Drosophila melanogaster: one gene and its partners. The gene in region 3 interacts genetically with the main gene of each other region. Each region holds a gene or a part of one and is shown on either strand. Other genes may lie near its edges.

The links. A genetic interaction does not mean that the proteins touch.
Region 1: of cdi (region 3) and boss, changing one suppresses a phenotype caused by changing the other (phenotypic suppression), as found in Drosophila melanogaster (one study listed by BioGRID).
Region 2: of cdi (region 3) and RacGAP84C, changing one suppresses a phenotype caused by changing the other (phenotypic suppression), as found in Drosophila melanogaster (one study listed by BioGRID).

Annotation. Positions count from the first base shown.
Region 1 is NT_033777.3:25,959,755-25,968,905, reverse strand, and holds boss (bride of sevenless), read right to left. Parts: upstream 6,913-9,151; 5' UTR 6,863-6,912; intron 5,465-6,862; 5' UTR 5,343-5,464; coding exon 5,291-5,342; intron 4,988-5,290; coding exon 4,517-4,987; intron 4,458-4,516; coding exon 4,008-4,457; intron 3,887-4,007; coding exon 2,427-3,886; intron 2,366-2,426; coding exon 2,108-2,365; 3' UTR 1,958-2,107; downstream 1-1,957. Other genes in the region: CG14540 (uncharacterized protein), read right to left, coding at 7,465-8,243, 8,311-8,434, 8,492-9,151. UniProt on the Drosophila melanogaster protein: Acts as a ligand for sevenless tyrosine-kinase receptor during eye development.
Region 2 is NT_033777.3:7,283,657-7,289,586, forward strand, and holds RacGAP84C (Rac GTPase activating protein at 84C), read left to right. Parts: upstream 1-2,305; 5' UTR 2,306-2,448; coding exon 2,449-2,768; intron 2,769-2,904; coding exon 2,905-3,712; coding exon of another isoform or gene 3,713-3,736; exon of another isoform or gene 3,737-3,795; intron 3,796-3,832; coding exon 3,833-3,859; 3' UTR 3,860-3,973; downstream 3,974-5,930.
Region 3 is NT_033777.3:19,089,619-19,097,640, forward strand, and holds the start of cdi (center divider), read right to left. Parts: upstream 4,653-8,022; 5' UTR 4,071-4,652; intron 1-4,070. Other genes in the region: mRpL55 (mitochondrial ribosomal protein L55), read right to left, coding at 4,821-4,967, 5,024-5,200; ATPsynD (ATP synthase, subunit D), read left to right, coding at 5,791-6,327.

The sequences.
Region 1 (9,151 bases), 6.9 Mb from region 3:
GGTGGCGCTCGTATCTCGGGCGTCACATGTCTTTTTTTGGGCCGCATGACTAATATAGGCAAATGGCAGGCGACTCGCAGGACGTGGCGCACATTTGGCGACATGCCAGAGTAGATACGCATTCTTAAACAATGTTCTCCTATACTTAAAGAAATATTTTTAAGCACTTCAAACTGCTTTTAAGGGTTTCCAAATATTTTTTTTTTTAAATTGTACTTGACTAACTTAGTGATCATATATGGGATATTTTTGATTTTTTAAATTCTTTTAACAGGCTTTTGGTATAAAGTTTTTCTCTCAGTCTCGAACTTTAACTCGAAATGTCTGATTCTGATTTTTACCGGTAGATGGGTTGATGTCGTCACACCGATGGAAACGCAGCTGAATGATTCACCAGTTGGTGTGCAAGGAATGGTTGTTACGCAGAATGTTTCGACAAAGGAAAAACTTTTCTTTTGCCAGATTGAACTTAACTTAGAAGTTTAGAAGTGGAAGCGACTTTTATGATTGTTTTGGGCTATCTTTAGCGTGGGCCAAGACGTCACAGCCGGTGACGCGTTGAGCTTCGACTTGATATTTTTATTGTAGAGACAGAAACACATCCTGCAGCATAATATATGTGTACATATATATAAATAAATAGATGTCCATGTGCCATTTGATGATTTCTCGCCTTTGGGCGCACGCCTGCCATCTAACGAATGTGGCATCATTAGTTTTGTCATAGTCATAAATCATACGCCCCGTGGACCGCTGCGTAGCCGGCAGCACGCCAAGCAGTGAAGGACGAGCGGAATTGCGGCAGGACTGCATTGCTAATAATGTCACGTAGCACAGCTTTTGACAGTCAAGTGTCACACACACTCCAGCCAGAATCCAAGATTAGGCGCTGCTCAACATGGCCAATTATGGGAGGCGGTTACAAGGATCTGTGGTGCCGCAAAAGTTCCCGTCCATTTACATATTTCTTCTCTAATCTCGCGCAGAAGCACAAAATTTAATTATAAAAACTGTTCTGAAAATTATGCCAAAGCATACGCAAGAACATGGCGGCCATACGAAAATAAACAGGAAAATGGCAACGGGAAAAACTCATTTCGCAGTACTATCGCCGCCCGGCAATCAGAGCCAACCGCCCACGAACGAATCCTTATCCTTATCCCAGTCCCTGCCCAAGACATTTCCTTTTTGTGTGTCGGCAAATGAAGTGCAAATTATGCCAGCGGCCAGTGCAGGGAAAAGCGCGGAAAACAAAGCGCTTTTCGCGTTGCCCCAAAAAGTATGCCATCCACAAACCACAGATTGTGAGGATTTTTCGGGGGGATTTCGGGCGAGATTACATGGTAAAGCATAACTTTATTGAGGTTGGCCTGGATCCCTACAGGATCTACCTCCCACCTGTCACCAACCTTAACCCTCTAATGTTTTGCGCGTGGCATTGTCAGCAAAGTCGGCGCCATTTGAAATGGTCGCGTGTAGTCGGTAGTTTGTGGCAACCTCGCTTTTTTTTTGCCGGCCTTTGTGGCGGCTTGATAGCATATCTTGTTGCGCATTTGTCCATGTACCATGGTCAATGTTCTTGCCCCGGCCAGTGTCACCCTGACGTCAGCGTCCTCCTGGGGCCCCCTTCCACACACCCACTCCTCCAAGGCCAAACAAATGGGCGTCCAATGTCGCGTGACGCACAAGGATATCGGGTCCTGTGATTGCCGTCGTTGTTTCGCCTTAGATGAGTTTTCCTATAGCTCGTCTAGCTTTCGCTGTTTGCCGCCCTGTCACGTGTTTGCCCAGCCAATTAGAGTTATAGGCCGATTAAGCAGGAGCAAGAGGAGAAAGTCGCTGAGCTTTCGCAGCTTTCATTTAGCAGGCGCACAAACCGTTCTGATAAAAATATCTGTTGCGATGAAAAAATTACAGGAGCGGCTCGCTTCAGATTGTGGGCAGAAAAAAGGTTCTTGTGATTATATTAATTTGTATCGATTTATTATTTATTTTATCAACTTCAATAAGTTCTTGGTTCGTCAGTGATTCAAAATGTTGGACAGTTCTTAGCTGAATTCACGTACTGGGAGCGTTGACTAGAAGTGCCACATTGTACACTCGTGGGCTAAAACCGGGTGATCTTGTTGTGATCGGGCGAGGGCGGCAGCGAGGACACCGAGGATCGGGAGGGACTCTGCTGGGGTCGAGGTGGAGGACGTTGTGGATTAATGTTGGCATTGGCCTGGCGGAGATTGGCAAAGAACTGCTGGCGACGTGGGCCACCTCCTCGAAGGGGTAACGTGGGAATCTCACTAGGCGACTGGTGGTTCACCTCATCCTGGGAACAATGGCGCATGGCGGGATTCACGCACTCGTAAACACTCTGTAAGAATAGATTTTAAAGTTAATCAGAAAAGTTTCTTGCTAATTTTCTAGGAACCCACCTGTTCCGAGGAGTATTGATTGTTCTGGGCAAAAGCCAGCGAAGTGAGTGAAGGCAGAGCTTGGGCAATATCCGACCGCTCGATACCCCTTACGATGAGGAAGGTGCGTGGTATCAGAATGCCCACCAGTACCGCCCAACCAGAGGCCTGCAATCCCAATGGAATGGCCGCATCCCTCCACTCGTCCCCGAATAAGGATAGCGCTATCCAGGCCACCCAAATTACCATAATTAAAACCGATCCAATGACAATGAGTATTCCCTCGCGATAGTTTCGTTGGGATCTGTATATAGAGGGTATCAAGGCGCCCACACAGCACAGTAGAGCAAAGTCGTAGGCCAACAGTCCCCACAACCATCGACCATAGTAAATATTCTCACAGGACACAGTCTCCGAGGCGACGTGCATCACCACCAGAAGTTGCACGGACATGCCCACTTGGGCCACAACACTAAAGGCGCAAATCACTGCCTGAATATATCCATTCACATGGGATAGGAAGCCACCTTCGGAACCAATTGAAGCCAACATCACGGCGCGACAGAGGAGCAGGGAAAAAACAAAACAGTAGACCAGAGTCATGATGAACACCCTCACCGCGCACAGGGTATTCAGAGTCTGGGCATCCTCGAAGGTCACATGCGAATTGCGCTGCTCACCCACGTATTCAATCGAATAGGGCACAAAGGAGCAAAACACTAAGATGAGGGAGAGTAGAAGGAGAATCGAGGTGGTCGGATTTCCCTCGAAGACATCGCCCAACGAGATGCGCACCACAATGAACACCAGGATGGCGAGCGTGGCAATCAGGCCCAGGATAGCAGCCGTCAGCCCAGTTGCCACCCATGTGTCCATCTTGATGCGCCAGAACATAACGGATTCACCATCGAAAAGGAATGGATATCTCCTATTGTCACCAGCACTGTACTGGCAGTTGAACACCTGACCAAACTTGGTCTTCAGCTCCAAACTGGTGTGATTGTCCCGATTATAGTGATAGTACGTGGTCACATTGGTCACAAAGTTCTGCGACGCAATCTCGCGCAGTTCGGTACGCGATTCACCTGTGATCTTGTCCAGCGTCAACACTTTCTTCTGGTACATCTGAAAGTTCATGGCGGTGCCCAACTTGCGCATCAGCAGCAGCGACAGGATCTCAGCCGTATCATGGGCTTGTCGGTACTCCGAGGTTCGCCAGTCCTCGATGAAGTTCAGGAAGTTGAAACAGCTCTCCAGCACATACAAGTCGTGCTCCTCACCACGCTTACAGTGCTTGGACAGGGATCCGCGCAGCCAGTTCATCAGGTCGATTATGGAGCCGGCAAAGCTCAGGACTCGCGATGGTAACACACTCTTCCCGATCAGGATCTCGTCCAAAGCGGTGGGCGTGGCGTCCAATTCAACGGCGGTGCTCAGGTCAATTTCGTTTTCCATTAGGACAAAAGCTCTGTTTGGTAAGTCTAAAAAGAAAAGAAGAAATTAATGCGTAAGTAAAATGTATCAGTCTTAATCCTTAACTTAAACAATAAATCAAAAGGACCCACAACTTTAGTAATCCTGTTCGTTGTAGTTATTACCCACCTGCCAGAAATTCATCGTCCGTTCTATCGGTGGGCACGGAAAACAGAGTGCCGTTTTCCTTGAAGTGACTAGCTAGCTTATTGCCAAACATTATGTAAACATTATCGTCACTTTTGAAGTGCATGAGGCACATGTGCTCCTGGCGAGCGGCTTCCATGAATTCATTGTACATCTCCAGCGTTTCGGTTGCTATTTCCACGGATGCGATTTTTTCGCCCCAAGGCATTTGATGCAGCAAGTGCGCAACTTTGGGAAAGAGGTGCGCCCGCGTTCCCGGTATTGGCCAGATATTGTATTCCAAGTCCTTGATAACAGACTCCAGTTGTTTGTACAGCTCCCAGTCAACGAATATGCCCATCGAGTACGTCGTGCACTGCTGCAGAAACTGAACTTCTTGAATAAGCAAGTTCTCTGCCAAGCTGGCGTTGTCGATGCTGATGGCGCGAATTCCTGGAATTCAATAAGAAGGATTTGATTTAGGTGCATATAAATAGCGGAATTTTACAAACCAATTTCAAAGTCTGCCATTATAAGATTCGCCTGGTTCACACGATTGATTACGAACAACGCGGAGTCGGGGTCCTTGGTCAAGACACTGAGCACCACATCTCCTTCGAGTATCTTGACAAACTCCTCCTGCTTCCGTATAACCGTTCCCTCATCCGCACTATTGACCGTCAACTGCAGACCATTGAGACATATTTCCGGCACTAAGCTGGCAGTTGTTCCACTGCTGGGTCCCTCGGTTGTGGATGAGATGAGCGGGGCCAGCTGACCATCGACGGAGCTGGAGACTTCATCATCGGTGGTTGATGCCACCGTTGTTGGGGCCCTTGTGGTAATACTGATGGGCTTGGCCTGCTGACTTGTGGGCTGTGGTTTGGTTATTCGAAGGGGAGCGGACTTCTTGGTGGGTGATGTCAGGTCAGCTCCATGGCACTCCAAGACGCAGAACACAGTGACTAGGATGCATAGAAGAGCTGCAGAGGACAACAATGAATTAAATCTTATTCGTATAAGATGGAAAATATCGTCGTCCTTAAATTTAAAGTAACTTTGTTCTGGTTAGCATGGTTGATTGACTAGTTAATTGATTGAATTACTCAATAAAGGAATTCACTTAAACCATATTTGCAATGGAATTTTCTACACAAACTCAAGCTTGAATGGCATTTTGAGAAAAATACAGGTCTTGAAATATTCCCGGAAAAAGAAATCCCCTCAAGTTGCCATTCATTCCATTGCACTTCACTTCTGCCTTACGACATTTACTCAGCACTCACCCACTGGTAATGGCTTTCTCCGTCCAGATTGCAAAGCGTCCATGACCTTCATTTCTAAAGTTTTAAAGGTTTTACAATTAAATACAAAAAATGTCCGTTGATAATTAAGCAATGCAGCAGTCTTTCCTTCAACATGTACTGATAATTGATATCATTTTATTTTTATTTTGATAGCTAGAAGGAAGAAAGAAAATGGTAAGTTGGATATTAGCCAGTGTGCAGAATTGTATTTTTTATTTTTTGCCGGCCACTTCAACCATTTTGCCGACTGCGTGGAGAGTGCTGCACTTTAATCGCATTAAAAATTGTCACACTAACACAGACTTTGTTGGCTTGGCATAGTTTCCACTTTTCCATGTCTGTTTCTTCGTGATTTTGCCCACTATCAGTGCAAAGTAATACGGTGGAAAAAATTTCTGTTTCGCATATTCTCTCACTTCGGGAAAATCAATAGAGGTTTTTTGTGGAAGCCGAATTCTGGAATTTATGGCACTGCACACACTTATTGCACAGATTCACGCACTAGACCCACTGACAGTCAGAGCCACAATAGTTTTGGGCAACAGCAATTGGCAAAAAAAAAAAACAAAGAAAAAACAACAAGGGAACACAAATTGAACGCCTCAGTGATTTTAGGGTCAATTAAACGTTTCTCGTTTTATATTTGTCCAGTGATGTACGCAGCACTCAAACCGTACATATATATTTATTGTTGGCCCACGAACAACCAATTTGATTTGGTAAGCCCCTGTGTTAACGGGTGCAGCATTGCAGTTGCCCGCACAATGCAATTATGTTCTATTCGATTTTTTTTTTGTCTCTATTTCAGTTTATTTTATTTTAGTTTTTCCGTTTTCGAACCCACCCCCTGGAAAACCGAAGGCGGAACACTGATGTGGCAATGTTTTGCACCTGTTTTGGCCGTTTTGTTTTGACTAACTTGGCTGAGGCCCGGCACTCGCTGGTTGTTATGGTTATTGGCTCAAACAGTCACTCACGAAATTGAGTGCTTTCCACGTCGAGTGTACAATTTCCCATAATTATACAAATAAATATGTACACCCCGAAGCCAGTTCAAATATTGGTCATTGCAATTAGCCAACTTGCTGGGCAAAAGGGTTTCGGGTTTCAGGGTGGAATAGGGTGGCCTGTCAAAGGTGCCGATCAGTAATTGCAATTTGGCCAGTCTTACAGTTCGGCACTTGTGGATAGCTTGCACAATGTTTGCTATCCTCGTTGGTTTATCAAAATGTTTTATTTTATTTTATGGCTATCCAATGCAAACTGTTCAGTGGAATATCCTTGAAAACAGAACCGACACTCGTGCCTTGGGCTTTGACATTCGTATGGCACTTTTCCGGGTTTTGGGGCTTTGCATAACACTTTTAATTCACGTCAAACGCAACATCAGTTGAAAAGTAAGCATTTTCATTTGGCCACGTTGCATAAGTTTAATTTAGAGCTCAATTCCTTTAGGGGGTTTAACTTTAATTGCCCAAAAAGCAACTATATGGCCTTATTAAGCTGTTTGGCTTTTTATTTAAATACTCATTTTACTTTGAATAGACGCACCAATATCTTACCGACGGACCACGTCCACGTTTAAACTGTTTTGGCCAACTGAACTAGCGGAAGAACTTGCAGAGCCGCGACACTCGTAAGCCCATAAAAATGCAGCTGCAGGTTAGGGCTAGTGGGGGTGGTCTTAGGCCTTATTTTCCACTCGACTCAGTTTTACCCGGTTGCCGGATGGGGGTGATGCCTTGTTTTGGCCAGCTCAGTTGATTCTTGCTTTGCAGTCAATATAATATGCACTTATTAGTGACACCAATGGGCATTACTCAGCGAGAATCGGGATTGCCAAGGGCCAAATAGGTCAGTTTTATGCTCAATGTAAGCTGTTCACATAACATAAATAAGAATATGAAAGCCAGTTTTAAATTTTGAACATAGTTTAATTGTGATCCTAAAAATGAATTAAATGAATACATGTACGCCAGGTACGATAAGTTATAGTTAATTTGTCGAAACATTTGATCCAATTTTTTTTGGCTTTACATTATCAGAAATAATTTAGGTCATGCCAAAAGTAATATTTAAATAAGTATTAAGGCGATTTCTAGGAATGGGTTCCCCTTCAGTTTGAATGCTCCTTTATCTTCACTCCAGTGGCTTTACTGACCATCTCCGGCGCCTTGGTTGGCTCCCCTTCGATTTAATTTGCGGTTGGGCCGGCTCGTAGTTGCTCCACTTGGATACTTGAGGCCACAGTCATCGTCCTCGCTGCCGGTCGAGATGTCCGAGGAGAGCTGGAAGTCATCCACTTCGGTGTAGGTCTCATCCGTACTATCGTTGGGCGTTTCGATCTCCGTGTCGTCAACCTTTTTATTTTTCTGACTACCTGCGAGGGTCCTAGAGCTCATGGCTGCTGGCTGACAAAGTCCACCGTTTGAATTTTTCTTGGGTATCAAGATGTCCTCGAGACTGGGCAGTTCAGCCGACATCTGACCATTCATATCCTTCACCTGATTGCAGTAGCGCTGGATATTATCCAGGACTTCTTGCACGCCCACATCAGATGATTTTACAACTAAACTTTGCTCCGATGACGACTTTTGTGCAGCAAGAACTGGCTGCTGAGCTTTGCAGATGCTACGATAGGCACTGGAGTTCATTAGGGACTCGTTATGGTCTTTTTTGGCGCTAATAGGCATTTTGCTTTGATTCCTAATCACTTTTCCTGGTTGTTGTTTTAAACTATGCGACGGTTTCTGTGTCAGATTCTGACTGACTGAGGCCGCTGCTTCTAAGTTCGCCTTCGAAAGACTCAGCATTTCCTGAGTGGGCTTTCCATTCATCAGCGATTGATGCTGGTAAAACATTTTATCGTACTCGGATTTCATGCACAAGTACCGAAAGTGTCGCGAATTTTCCTCACCGAAGTAAATTACCTCTGCAGATGCCAAAAAATAGTTACATATTATAAATACCAAATAAACACTGAAAGTAAATAAACTCACTGCTAATGACTTGTTCCTGCAGCTTATCCAGGTTATCGTTTGTCTGCTTCAACTCGCCCGAGAACCTTTCGATTTTGTGGCTCAGATCGCGAAAGTTCTTTGCCAGAGCATCGGATATGGTGTTCTAAAGAAAGTGCATAGTGTATTAACTAATCAACTAAGGAACTTATGCGAAACTCACGCCAACGGCCGTTTTGACAGTCTGGCGGATCAGGTCAAAGAACTCCTCAGGATCTTCCTCCTTATCTTCATCGTCATCGGCGGTACTCACGTGCACCTTGCTCGCCGGAACAGGCTGTCGCCCACGCATCTGCTTCTGATGCGGATGCGGATGCTGATGCTGATGCTGATGCGGTTGCGAATGCTGGAGGCGCTGCTGTTGCTGATGCTTGAGGTGGTTGTGAGTAGTCATCTGCTGCTGCTGGTGCAGCTGGTGTTGCGGCGGATGCTGCATTGCTCCGGATTGCAACTGCATTTGCATTTGATGGGCATGAGAGTGCGGATTGTGCCGGCGCATATTTCCCATGTTTCCCTGCTGGGGCACCATTAGTTCCTTATCGGAGTAGTCGTCGTTGTCATCCATTGGATAGTCGTTCCTCTGGGTATTGCCCTTTTCGCGGTGCTTCATTCGGTATGTCTCCTTCGACTTGGACATGCCATAGCCATTAGGGTTTACCGTGCCTTCGGCCGGGCTAAAATGCGGCACCTTGTTCATCGGCGCCTGACGAGCACTGGCCTTATTGGCCATTTGGTTTCGCCTCGAGGGCATGGCGTTATATGGAGATGGCTGGACATGGCCGGGAATCATTTGCGATATTGATGGCTGCGCCATCGAACCGGG
Region 2 (5,930 bases), about 12 Mb from region 3:
TTGCTGTGCATTTTTTTCTCTTGGCGCCCCTCCTTTTTCCAATTTTTTTCCTGCCACAGGAAATAAATTTTTTCCTTTCTGTCGCCCCGTCTCGCTTGCACCTTGTGCATTTTGAACCCCCCCCCCCCCCGTTCGCAAAACACAATCATTTTTTTGCAGTCATTTCCCCACCGCTTTGGTGGTGTTGCTATTGCTGTTGCATTTGCATCTGTGTTTTCGCTTTTAGATTTTGTTTTTTAGGTTTTTGCATCCTGGCCGGCGGCAGAAAGAAAGGGAGAGGAAGAGTCTTAAAAAATAGCAGAGTTGCCATTGAAAAATACAATTTATTATAAATTGTTGTTTTTAGTGCCCAACTAGAATTGGGTTAGACAAAGCGACGATTGAGGCGGAATTCTTTAACAGGTTGTTTTGCGATTTATAGTTCAATTCACAAAAGGTCACTTAGTGAACTGATTTTTTGTCCTTAAAATCATATTGGTCATCTTATGTGTAGGCCAGCTTTTCAGAATTTGAATATCTAGTTTTATCCCACATACTGGTGGGTGTTAATATTTCTATTTCTATGTGGATATTTTAAGAGTGTTCCCTAGTAGCTAAATGATATACATCTGAGACTTTTAATTAATTAATTGCTGATTTCATGGTTTTAGTACAGAAAACCATGTGCTAAGATGTTTTTAAGCAACATCCTGAATCTATAACAATTGCGTTAAACTTTTTCATTCTGTTAAGAAGCTTTAAAGTTGAAATATTTTGAGCTCGATGCAACCAAATAATTCCTTAAATTTTGGAGGCACCGGATAAAAACATTTTGATCAACTTTTGTGTGTGAAAAATTAATTATCACCACGTGGCAACACTGTCAACGTGCTTTGATGCCATTTTTTCCCACTCGTTTTTGCCCAGAACTCCCCTCTTTTTTGTATGTTTTGTGGATGTCCAAACATTTTTTATGCTGTTTTGTTGTGTTTCTGTACTTTTTTTTTTTGCTTTTTGGAATACGCAACGGACAGACACACACATAGGGCCACACACGTATTTGAACACACACAGTCAGAGGCGAATCAGAAAAAGTACAAAAAAGCATTTTGGGAAAAGTGGAGTGAGGAGTGAGGCAGGGGATTGCATGGGCTTATTGCGATGCGTGACTCGTATTTGTGGACTTTGAATACAAACAAAACAGTCGGACACAGATAGAAGCCCACACAAGTGCAATTATGAATACTACGCCCACACACACGCCGCATAATCACAGAGAGAGACACTCTCACTCACTGCAATGTGTGCATTTCAATACGCATTAATAACTACGAATTCAATGTGGCAGTGGCAACCATCCTTAGTATTTCAGCCCAAAGCTCACACACACCTAAACCCACACCCTCAAATGCTCACGCACACATAGGCACACCGGCGTCAATGCAGCTGACGCCTAAAAAACGACTACAAAAAAGCATAAAAATCCAATTCCCCGCCTTGCTCGTTAATTTTGCTGGCGCTGCTCTTCAATTCACAGCCCAAAACTGAAAAGTGCCATGATAATTTTGTTTTTACTCTATCCAAACTTTAAAATCGCATAAAAATCAATGCCAATGATGCCATTAAATCAACAGACAGATCCATGTTTCGTTTTCCACAAAAGTTCCAAGCTCGAAGTCCCTTTAAATTCTAATTTTTGTGTTTTTTTAGCAGCACGTTTACTCAACATTTTCGCTTTCTGACGTTCCGGCCTCACATGAACTGCAGCATTTTTTCGTGCTACATTTTTGCTGGTTGCATTCTATGTCTGGTGGCCGCAAAACGGTTTTCCATGAATTTTTCATCCATTTAGCGGCGCCATTGAGCCATTTTCTGGGCGCTTAGAATTCATAGATACTTTAGCAAATTGTTTTTTTAGTTCGATTTTCTACATTCTTTTTGTTTTTAGGGATTTTTAGCTTTTGTATCGTGACATTGAATCTCGGTGTGATTGATTGTCTTTAACGATTTAATTGAATCGAAAATATAAAAAGATCACCACTGACTTGTTTATATGAAGAAGACAGGGCAAATATCTGTTATTGTTAGGCACAAAAAATGTTTATAATAATTTGATTCACTTTTTTTTTGTATTGAAAACAGCATTTTTGATATTTCTTAGTAACACCTTAGTCGCCCATTAAATTTCTGCGGAGCACCCTAGATGTGTGTATGAATTATCCAGAAATATTTACAAATGTACGACCCACAGTAGGCACTCTCTATGGGTGATCGAATTTTTGTGCTGCCAGAACTATTTAAGCTATCAGCTTTCACCCGATTCCAAATAAACCGTAAGAGTAAATAAACATTTCGGTCGAGTATTCGGAGAAGCGAGCCGATAACTTCTGCGTAGCTGACTCAAGCCGAAGTGGCCTCTCTTCGGAAATTGCCAACTGACCAGAACAGCTGAATCAATTCGCCAACTTTATGATTAGTGGCTCTGGGAGTCGGACGCCCTCAAATCGACTTTATTTGTCGCCCGTTCGCCCCACGATGCAGAACAAACGGAGGCTTCTGCGGGAGTACAGGTCCTACGATGACCTCAGCGAGCACTACCGCATGTTTGGATCGCAGTCCCTGGACTCGCTGCAGGATCGCGTGGACATGAATCCCAGTGGCTGCGATGGCTTATCCACGGACGGACTCGACTTCTGCTCGCAGTCCCACTCGGGGCTGCTGAGGGAGCACAATTTCAAGATTAAGTCCTACTACTACAACGTGGGGAACTGCGTACACTGCCGCAAAAGGTGAGTTGCAATCACCGAATGGTGGAACTTCTGAGAGGATTTCGAATTCAGGGAAAACATGAAAAGTTAAATAACATCCCAACCCTCTCTGACCAGCATTTACCTCCCTAACCGCGTGTCCCTGGTCTTCTTCCAGGATCCGCTTCGCCATGGCCAGCCTGAGGTGTCGGGCGTGTCCGCTCCGCTGCCACATCGGTTGCTGCCGCCAGCTGACGGTGAACTGCATCCCCCAGCCTCAAATCGGTACGAAGAGAGGATGTCTCAGCGATTATGCGCCTCGGGTGGCGCCCATGGTGCCGGCCTTAATTGTCCATTGTGTAACGGAGATCGAGGCGCGGGGATTGCAGCAGGAGGGACTCTACCGGGTGTCCTCCACCCGAGAGAAATGCAAACGACTGCGTCGGAAGCTGCTGCGTGGCAAGTCCACGCCGCATTTGGGCAATAAAGACACCCACACACTGTGCTGTTGTGTTAAGGACTTTCTTCGGCAGTTGGTTCACCCTCTGATTCCCATTTACCACCGAAGGGATTTCGAGGAGGCCACGCGGCACGAAGATCGTCTGGCTGTGGAGATGGCGGTATATTTAGCGGTTCTGGAGCTGCATCAGGCTCACAGGGATACGTTGGCCTACTTAATGCTTCACTGGCAGAAAATTGCCGAAAGTCCTGCTGTCCGCATGACGGTCAACAATCTTGCCGTGATCTTCGCTCCAACTCTGTTCGGAGATCTGGATCTAACCCTCGAAAATGTCGTCACTTGGCAGCGGGTGCTGAAGGTGCTACTTCTGATGCCTGCCGGATTTTGGTCTCAGTTCTTGGAGGTCCATCCCCTTCCCACTTCGTTGGGCAGCACCTATGACTTTGAGGACCGGTACAATCACCGTCACTGGGACAGCTCGTCCAATCTGGGATGGTCTTCTGTTAAGACCTACTTTAGATCAATGGTAAGACCTATGGTTTCCCTTTAACGGATTTGGATAGAATTTCATATTCGAATAAGCCAAACTCAATACAAGCAATCAAACATATCATACAAATCTTTCACTGAATACTTCCTGTTTCAGGTCAACCTTAGCAGTACTCACCTATAGTGAAAGTCTTATGACTGAGACATCGAGAATGGATGCAGTCACCCTTTTTTATTTTATTTTGTATTTTTTTTCATTATTCACTACAGTTGAAGAACTAATAATAATTGGATCTCTAACATGTTGTGTATGTGTTGTTGAATTATATGCGGCTAACAAGAGTACTTGACATCTCAAGTGCAATACTTGATTTATTGAATCACCAAAAGATACTCTCAGAAAACACCCATTATTTCCATATATGAAATTCGGCTAATTAAATATAAAGCCAGGCCAAAATCTTATTCGCACCACATAAATAATCTAGCATGGCCCAGAGCGACGTTATCGCAAAACTATATATTTCGAGTATTGAAACATTAATAAACATTTTTAATTGAATTTGCAATTTTTTTCGCCGAACGTTGATTAATTCCCAACCGTTGAAAACATGTAAAAAATTAATAATTTCCATTTCCCATATTTATGTTTCTTTGAAGCGTAAACCAAAGCACAAAGTAAAATATTTTGCCGCGAACACATATAAATAAGTTAAAGCGCCAAGAAAAAAGTTAGCATTTTAAAAACAATTTGGAGAGTGCCGTGCAAAAAAGTGCGGCCATTAAATGCAAAAAACAAGCAAAGCAAAACAAAACTCGAATGCACTGGACGAGTGCATAAATAGACTCACTCCCAATATCAGTCGATCCGATCCCAAGCCAATACTCGTACATGGTCCAAATAATGTATAATACAATCAAAACAAACATAAAGCGAGACGGCAAGCGTGTGCGAGCAGTGGCGAACGAGGGCCGGGAGGGAAGAGCATTTGCAGTGCGCTTCTGTTGCTAACCGCCACAAATATCAAATGGGCTGGCAATTGTTGCAGTGGTCGCCCGTTAACGTTAACCAAATGCTAATGCCAAAGGCCACAAAACGCAGGCACGCACACCAGCGCGTTTTTTAGGGGCAGTTCGCACCAATACCGTGTCAGAAAAATGCAGCGAAAAAATGCAAAAATAAATAGGCAAAACAAAAATAAAAATAGTTTACATAATTCATGTATTATATCGGATCACATTTTAATGCTCGCCGCCGCGCCACTCTGCATGTGTGCGTGTGTGTGTGTGTGTACGTGTGCGTGTGCGGAAAACATTGCCTACTTGGGGGCGCGAGTTAAAATTGTTTAACAAATGGCATGACTGCAATGTATGTGAGTGTGTGTGGCTTGTTTGTGTGCGCCTGCATAATTCGCGTGCAGTTTTTGCTTTTTTAAGACTTTTTAGCCTATTTTTATTGTTAATTAAATGAGGGGAATAACAGACACAGTCCACCGAAGTGGAGCATGCAAGTGAGTGTGTGTGTATGTGCTCACGCTCTCGCGTGTCTGTGTGTGTGCGTGTGTTTGTTTTGATGTGCGCAACAAATTTGTGCAATTTTTCTATTTTTGTCGGCAGTTTTTCACCCGCTCGGGCATTTTCCGCTCGTTGTTCGCATGTAATTCACTAATTGATAGTGTGAGCTTGCCCCATACCGCCAAAACCGCCACGCCCCCTCCCGGTCGCGCCCCCCCGCTCCACTAACCACTTGTGTAATTGTGTTAGTGCCTGCCACACATGAGCTCACACAAAGTTGAAAGCGCAGCAAAGAATAATGGAAAAAAGTAAATGCAAATGTCAAACAAAACTAAAAAATTGCAGTTAAAAATAGTAGGAAGCGTATTATGCGTGGCGAGGTGGAGCGGAAAGAAAAACTGAAAACCAGAATCGCTCACCAATACTGGCACAGCGTGGTGCTAATAATAAGATAGGGTAAAAATCGCAGCGCACTTTTGCGTTTATTTCAGTTAATGCTGCACTTTTTTGCCGCTTTGCTAGGCGTGTTCTATAATTTTATGTAAGCTTTGTGTCGGTCGGCCCAAACAAGTGGGCGCGGCATGTGGTCCATAAAAAAGTTCCCTTTTTCCGTATTCTTCTTGCCGTTTTTTGTGGATAAGACAAATATTTTGTTGATGGTAAAAAAAACTTTAAAAAATACATGTCCGTGATTAATTTTGTTTTTAAAGGATTTCAATTACAATAAGGACTTTCCTTGG
Region 3 (8,022 bases):
ACAAAGCTCACAATTAAAACTATAACAAAATAATTACACCAAATTTCGACATAATGATAATGATAGCAGCGAACGGACACAGAGCTCTCACTTTTCCGCTGCTGGCCAAAGTCAAAATAAAACTCAAATTACCAAGCACATTTTTGCACTCGGCAAATAAACGGGGAAGTTATGCGAATTGGGATTTGCTATTTGCTATTTGCCGTTTTGGCATTTTGTGTGTGTCTTTCCTTCTCTTGCGAAATCTGTCCAAATAGCCAGTTGAAGTCAAAGCCGGCAGCAGGCCATAATTAGGGTCAATTGCGGCTAACCGCCGCCAATTGACGACAACGAAAGCTTTTGGCCAAATGAAGCGGCCGGGGAAAAAGTGCTACACTTCATTAGGTGCCATGACAAACGAAGAGCTGCAGCAAAAAGTGGGCTTGTGGCTTCGACTTAATAGCACCCAAGGATCGTTTTCGCGCCCACCACGCCCCCAGAATACAGTTGTCCAATTACAGGCAGGTCTTTGTCAAATTATCTCGTTTTGAGCTGTGAAATGAATACGTGCTATCTTCACCAGTCAGCTGTGAAAGTTTCCATACACCCTAATGAGTGGCAAACTTAAATATATTTTTAAAAAAAAATTGTAAACATTAAACTCGGCTATCATGGTGAAGAGTTAGCTGGGGAGAGAGTGCCTATCATCGATGAAGAGGAAAATCCATTTCGTGGCCCACAAAAATGAGTTTAGCACGCTCCGCGAAACTAAGTCAAGGCCCCAAGCAACGATTTTCGTTACCGATTTGGGTGAGCAAATCTATCGAGTCGAGAAAAACACTTAAGCGGTCGCTTTTATTTCGACTCTTGCATACATTTATTTTCCCATCACGTTTCAAACTATATACACATGTATTCCGCGTGGAAAGCCGCAGCAGTAAAGCATCAAAATATTTATGTTTCAATAGGAATGGCAGCCAAACAAATGTCAGTCCGCATCCGTGGTTGTTGCCAAACATATGGAAAATAGATGATGAGCCCCACAACACCGGAATGCTGCAATCTTAAAAGTCAGCAGTTCCACGAAGATTAAATGCCCTAAAGGCATTGAAGCAGCTGAATATAATTTAAAAATCTAAAAAAAAAAAAGGCGGAACACGACGTGCAATAAATTTAGGCAATTTTAGAAAATACATCTTGTGGTGTCGCAAGAACTCAAAACTAAAGAAATCACGTTCAAAACAGCAGATAATAGGTATTTCTACATCAACAAGTTGACTTAGGCAAGAAAGTTTCTATATCTGAAAGTTGGTGGGATTCTGCACCGACTTAAGAACAACTTTTCTCCAAATATTAACTCTACTAATCGTTCAAAATCGAGGCTATTTAATTAATACATTTCCTAATATGTTTGCTAGAGAGAAACCAATGAAATTAATTTCAGCACACCACTTATCGCCGTTTGCTTTCGATGGCGTTTATGGCATTTTCCAAAACGAATGTTAAACCGTTAACCGCCACAAGGTTCGAGTCAATAAACCGCTGTCGACTGCGGTGACTTTGTTGCCGTGCTGTGAGATCAAGTTGCATTTTTATGGGGCCAAGGGTCGTCGCGGCCACCACCGTCTGCATCATCATCATCATCAGCAGCAGCATCATCGTGGTATCTTCGCCTACGTAGACGCGTGCCAGGAGAATTGTGTGCAATGCACACTGCATCGTTTCAGCTGGGCCATTAAAGAGGCATAAATCTTGGTTATGAAATTGGAAATGATTTGCTGTTCAGGCACATTCAAGTAGGGAGCAAGTAACGCACCGAGAAGTGATGCGTTCAGGAAGCGTCTTGCGTTTAGAGTCCGAAAAAAGCGTTAATGAAAAGGAAAGTTGGTCAGCGGCAGAAAAAATGCCACTTCATTGCCGTGTAGAAAGAAAAACAAAGACGAGGAGACGGCGAAAAGAAGCCAAGGCAGCTCAAGAAGAAGAAATTTCTATAAACAAAGAGATGAGACGCCGAGGCAGAGCAAAATTATCAAAGAACAACAAAAACCGAGAAACACAAAAAAAAAAGAAGTGGAAAATGGGACATGGCACACTCTTGGGCCCACAGAAACAACAAAGACTGAATGAAATTCATGTCGTTGTCGCGCTCATAAATTCTTCTACGCCTATATATCGCTGGCTATCTGAGAGATACAGATACACCCACACTTGGAAAAACTACCAACTCATTCAGCCGGGGAGGTGCTGGCTGCATCCGCTCTCTACCTATATGTATGCCTACTTATGAAAAAGAATCTATGTATGTAAATTTGGTGTATTTTGAATAAATTCCAAGCCCATCGAAGGTGTGAGGTGCCAGTTATCGTTAGTTTTTTATTCTCTTGAGTTTAAAGTTTAGACTCCAGAGGCCGTACAACAAGTGATTCACGTAACGAAATGGAAAGCGAGGAGAAATATGTGTGTATACAAATCTACCAAATAAATTCAAAGGCAATGGAATTTTCGACTGAAAGCATAAGATAAGCTTAATTAGCCGGGCAGACAAAAATTTCACTTTCCTTTGGTACAGAACCGTCGTTTTCTAAACTATTTCTGAATGTCCAACGATCACTGCGCCATTTAGACATTTCGACTAATTGGCAGCCAGTCGGCTTTCGGGGGGAGGGCACTCACGTGCCGCCCATCGATCTGCAGCAAAACTATACGTAAATAAACTTTAGGATCGAAGAAATCCAACAAGAACGTCAACAAAAACGAAAACCAAATGGGTTTATTTTCAGCCTCAAGTGCAAGTCCTATAAGAAGATCGAACAAAACAAAACACTTGATGAATGCAACCGAAGGAGGTGCAAAAATCGAACAATAACAAATACAATAGGAAGGGCGCGTAGAGTGAGCACAAATCGTTTCGTTTATTTTATTTATTTTATTCCCCTCTATGCGGACACACACAAATGAAAACAAATTAGCTTAGGCAGCATTAACAGCCAGCTGCCAAGGGCGGAAGTACGGGGGAGTTTACTGTTAATTTTATAAACACCACGAAAGACCACAACGAAAAAAAAAAAAACACCACAAAAATGCAGCAGTAGCAACAGCCAACAACCACCAAACCGGCAAAATCCCAATAGGGCAGCTGCATTTCGGGAGGAAACCCAAGTGGAATGTGCATTCGAATTGGGAGCTATAGCTTCTCGATCCCCGGATAATGAGCCGTGAACATCTGTCGCAGTTTTACGTGGAAAACTGTCTTTCCGCTGAATCGACCGAATCGGAAAAAAAGGGAGAAACTGAGACTAAGGAGAGAGCGAATGCTGGGAAAACCAGCACCAACATCGGAAGCATCTTCATCATAACTTGCAAATGTGTTTGTGTTATTTTTACATTTCCGCTGCTTACGAAAATATTTACGCTCCCCTTCGCACAAAACCTTCCCCATTTCGAATTTCAAATTTCGAATTCCAGACGCTCGCACACACGCACGTGTTAGAGATGAGCCAGATTTCCGAGTGCATCGCATGGTGACAACAGGTTCGATTCAAATGAATATGGAAATGATTCTGCTGAGCTCACAAAAAATTTAAGCATTTGCTTTTCAAATTAGATCATATGGCTATGCTATTCGAAACAGATGTGAAAAAGTAACAAGTTTTAGCTCTACAATGTTTACTTTAAATTTAGCATTTACGAAGTATAAATAGACACATTATTTACGCATTATGTTTTATTATATTTAAGACAAAATACAATCAACGTAAGTTAAAATATAAGATTGCAAACCTATTTACCCTCAATTCTAAATGTTTAAATATACAATAGTACATGACAATTTTGCATTTCCCGTTACGAAATTATATTTGTGTTTTTATCTCGGTAGAACCTTGAAAACCATGTTGTGTCAAGATGCAGCGAAAGCAGCGGGTGGCAACTTTTGGCAGGCAGTGTGCGAAAGCTAAGGTCAGGCCCATCTCTAGGTTGCTTCCGCACACAGACACGCACGCACACAGCGATGGGGAAATGCCAACGATAGCACAGGTCTAATCCATTTAATTCTGGCTTTTAACCGATTTCTGCTAATACTATTTATTTACCCGTTTGGTTTTGGCGACTGCTCTCTCTCTCTCCCTCCGTTCTTATTGCCGTGTGGCCATAATCCAATTATGCTTGTGTTTGTGTGTATGTGTCTGCTCTCTATTGCAATTGCAGTTATTCGCATCCGCCGTGATATGCAACCAACACATTCGCACTCGCGCACTCACACGCACCCGCAGACATCACAAATGCGAGGACCGAAAATCCTGAGCGTCAACAAAATAAATATAGCTCTGGTGTTTTAAAATAGGTTTTCACTCGATTCTGCGTTTGCTGTCTCGTCTTGTTTATGTGCATTCGTCGTTGGTTGTGTGTACTTGTTTTTTTTTTTTTTTGTTAGACGCGACTGTCCATTCAACATTACCACTCAGCCGACGCAGAGCGAGATTATAATTCGGTAACCGATTCACTGGCACTGCTCTAACGGGCTATAGCCTATGATCCAGTCTGGAATGGAGCTAAAGATATGTTGCTTTCATTTATGTCTGCACTCGCGAAAAAGCGTCCACAAATTAACAGTTCTTCGGGAGCGACGCGCAGCTAGACGTCCGACTTTGTTTTCCGACTCGATTAGAGTGACCGTTGTGGGATGGTGGAAAAAAGTGGAGGGCCCATGCTGAAACCGATAACAAAAATACCAGATGTGCGATATACACTATCGATAACGAGCACAATTTCTTAATTCTAATTTAAAACAATTATATAACGGGCTTTCGTGTTTTATTTAACAAATAGTGAATAAAATGCGGCTACTTCTTTTTGATGTACTTCATGTACTTCTTGGCGTTGAAGTTGTCCTCCACCTCCTCCATGATCTTGACCTTCTTGCGCGGCTTGCGGGCCTCCAATCTCGCTCTGCGCTCCGCATCGGTTAAGGTGCTCAGATCCAAGGGAAGCTAGTAGATGGTACTCGTTAATTATGGTTTCGTTAAGTTATAGTAACTAACGTTACCTTGATAATCTTCCTGGGCTCGTGATAGCGGATGTTTATCGTGGATCCATCGGGTTGCACCACAACTGTGGGATATAGCCGGCAGTAAACCGAGCGATGCAGCCTGGTAACCGCCGTCGTGGCCGATGAGATGCAGCGTATCTGCTGAACAGCCTGGGGCAACTGTTTCAGCAACATTTTAATTGATAATCACAATATTTACACTAAATAAGAGCTACACTTAAATCGTGTTTTTGCTGCCAGGCAGCTGATAGTGTGACCGACCCGAGGGTAAGATTTAAAGACTCCTAAATTAGTTATTAAGAATCTGTGGTAGCCCTGGTTCAGTTTCCACATTATGTGGTATTTTCCCCAGCTCTGGTCACATTCGTACTCAAAGTGTAAGTGTTGGTTGCAGAGGCAGAAATTCTTATTTTTCTCCTTGAAAATATAAGTACGTTACGTTAAACACTGCAAAAATAATAAAAAAAAAGCGCACGGTTGGGCTACAACAGCGATTAGTCTGCAAGCCTCGAGGAAAGGACTGCAAACGCGTTTTTAGTTTGAAGGAACATTGAGGATTGAAAAAAATTACATAATTTTTGCGAGCATAACTCGCCGTGCATTATGTCGATAAGTCTGCAACTAAAGAAGCAGAGATTACATTTCAACTAATAAGAATATCGCTGCACAGTTCCAGGACACCTAGAAATCACTTACCACCTCTATAAACCCAAAAACCTAACCTCATCCCCGCTTTTGTTGTTGTCTTGCAGTATCTGTGCAGAATGGCCGCCCGCCGTATCGCCCAATCCTCGATCAACTGGTCCGCTCTCGCCGAGCGCGTGCCCGCCAACCAGAAGAGCAGCTTCGGCGCCTTCAAGACCAAGTCGGACATCTATGTGCGCGCCGTGCTGGCCAATCCCGAGTGCCCACCCCAGATCGATTGGGCCAACTACAAGAAGCTTGTGCCAGTGGCCGGACTCGTCGATAGCTTCCAGAAGCAGTACGAAGCCCTGAAGGTGCCCTATCCCCAGGACAAGGTGTCGTCCCAGGTGGATGCCGAGATCAAGGCGTCGCAGAGCGAAATCGATGCCTACAAGAAGGCCTCGGAGCAGCGCATTCAGAACTACCAAAAGGAGATCGCCCATCTCAAGTCTCTGCTGCCCTACGACCAGATGACCATGGAGGACTACCGCGACGCATTCCCCGATAGCGCACTCGATCCCCTCAACAAGCCCACCTTCTGGCCCCACACTCCCGAGGAGCAGGTCGGCTACAAGTCCAAGGAGCAGCTGGAGGCCGAAGCCCAGGGACACCACTAAACCGGAGCGCACGAGGAGCACTCTGACACTGGCTTCGTTGGTCGTCTGTTCGATTCGAAATGTAATCCGCGTTGAAGTAAATTACCCAAATTAAATTCATTTCAAATGACAGTTACGGTATCTAATTTGCATTTGTTGTCTATGTGACATCTTGTTGGATGGATATGCATAAAGAAAATGGGATCCTTAAATCAAAATAATGAAATAAATTGAGAAAACAATCAATTTGACAGCCCAATGCACTGGAAATGATAGCCGGTCCTTGCAGTTTTATAAGCTAATAGATAAAAATCAAATGCACAAATAAATAAATAAGCAAATTGGCTACAATTCAAACTTAAACTTAAACAAAAATTAAAATTACTAATCGGCACCAATGGTGGTGCTAGACTCCGCTAAATGCGGATGTTGTACTTGCTAAATGAAACTAAAGCTCCCTCTTGTGGGCGGTGGCAAATAAATTCCCAGAGATGTCGGTTTCTGGGAATGAAAAGCACTTCCTGATTTCTAAAAAATTTAATAATTCCGAAAGTACTTTATATTGAAATTTAATGTGCGTCAAATTAGCGTCGATGAGTTAGAGGCGGCACAGTAAGTGGGAATTCCTGCTCCTTATTGCCACACCGCTGGATTTTAATACTTTTAAACCTCTACCTTGGTTTGTGTCCGCACTACAGGCAGTATATTCTAACTGGATTTTCCCGATCGCCTTAGTATATTTTTCAAATGTTTATTGGTTGAAAGACTGAGCACTGCTAGCATTTATTTTGAGAGAATTCAAGCAGTGCCATCTTGTTTGGCTCTCCGAAAGCCGTTAAAAGCTTCAGTCGCCGCTCAAATCTCGTTTCTCTCGCCATCTCGCTCCAACTCGAACAAGCTCACCTTTTGCGAGGAAAAAACCGCAGCAGCGCGCGTCTTAACTTGTCCGCGAAGTGCACCTTCGTGATCGGAGCCGCAAATGCCGCGCAGCACGACGCGATCTGTTCAGTCGCGAGCGAATCGAGTTGGAGTGCAAACGTCTCAAGCGGAATCTCAAGTTGTAGCGCCAGACGCAGCGATCCGATCGGAGTGTACATGCATGTGAATCAATCGCTGAGATACAAAGTTGAACCAAGTTGGAATTTGCCATCACCAGTCGAAAGCAATCTCGAATCGAATTAATATACGCGCCATTTGCATAAGGCGCAACTAAAAAGACGCGCTTCTGTCAGTTAACGTTAACCCACTTTCTAAACGACCAAAACCAAACCAAACCAAAAAAATACAAATAAAAAGAAGAATAATACTGCGACCGATATTCAGCAACAACGAAACCAATTAACAGGCAAATAATGCCAAGCAAATAACTCCGAAAAACGTGCAAGTGATTCATGGTTTTTTTTTCTTCCAAGTGAAGTGCTTAGGTAAAAATCGAAACACACACACACATACACAACACACAGCTTAAAAAGCAAAGCTGACTGGAAAACGCACTGGAAGCGATAACGATACCTGGAACGCCCCCAACCAACGACTGTCAGTCAGTTGAAACCGCAACTGCAGCAGCAGCATCTACTCGGCCAAAAACAACAGCACAAAGTACGGATTGCAAACAGCCCGGGTAAGTTACACCATCGTTCATCATCGCACAAAAACAACAAAGTCTACTATAATGGGGGATATTCATACACACACAACTCGCAGGGGCAGCCTTTG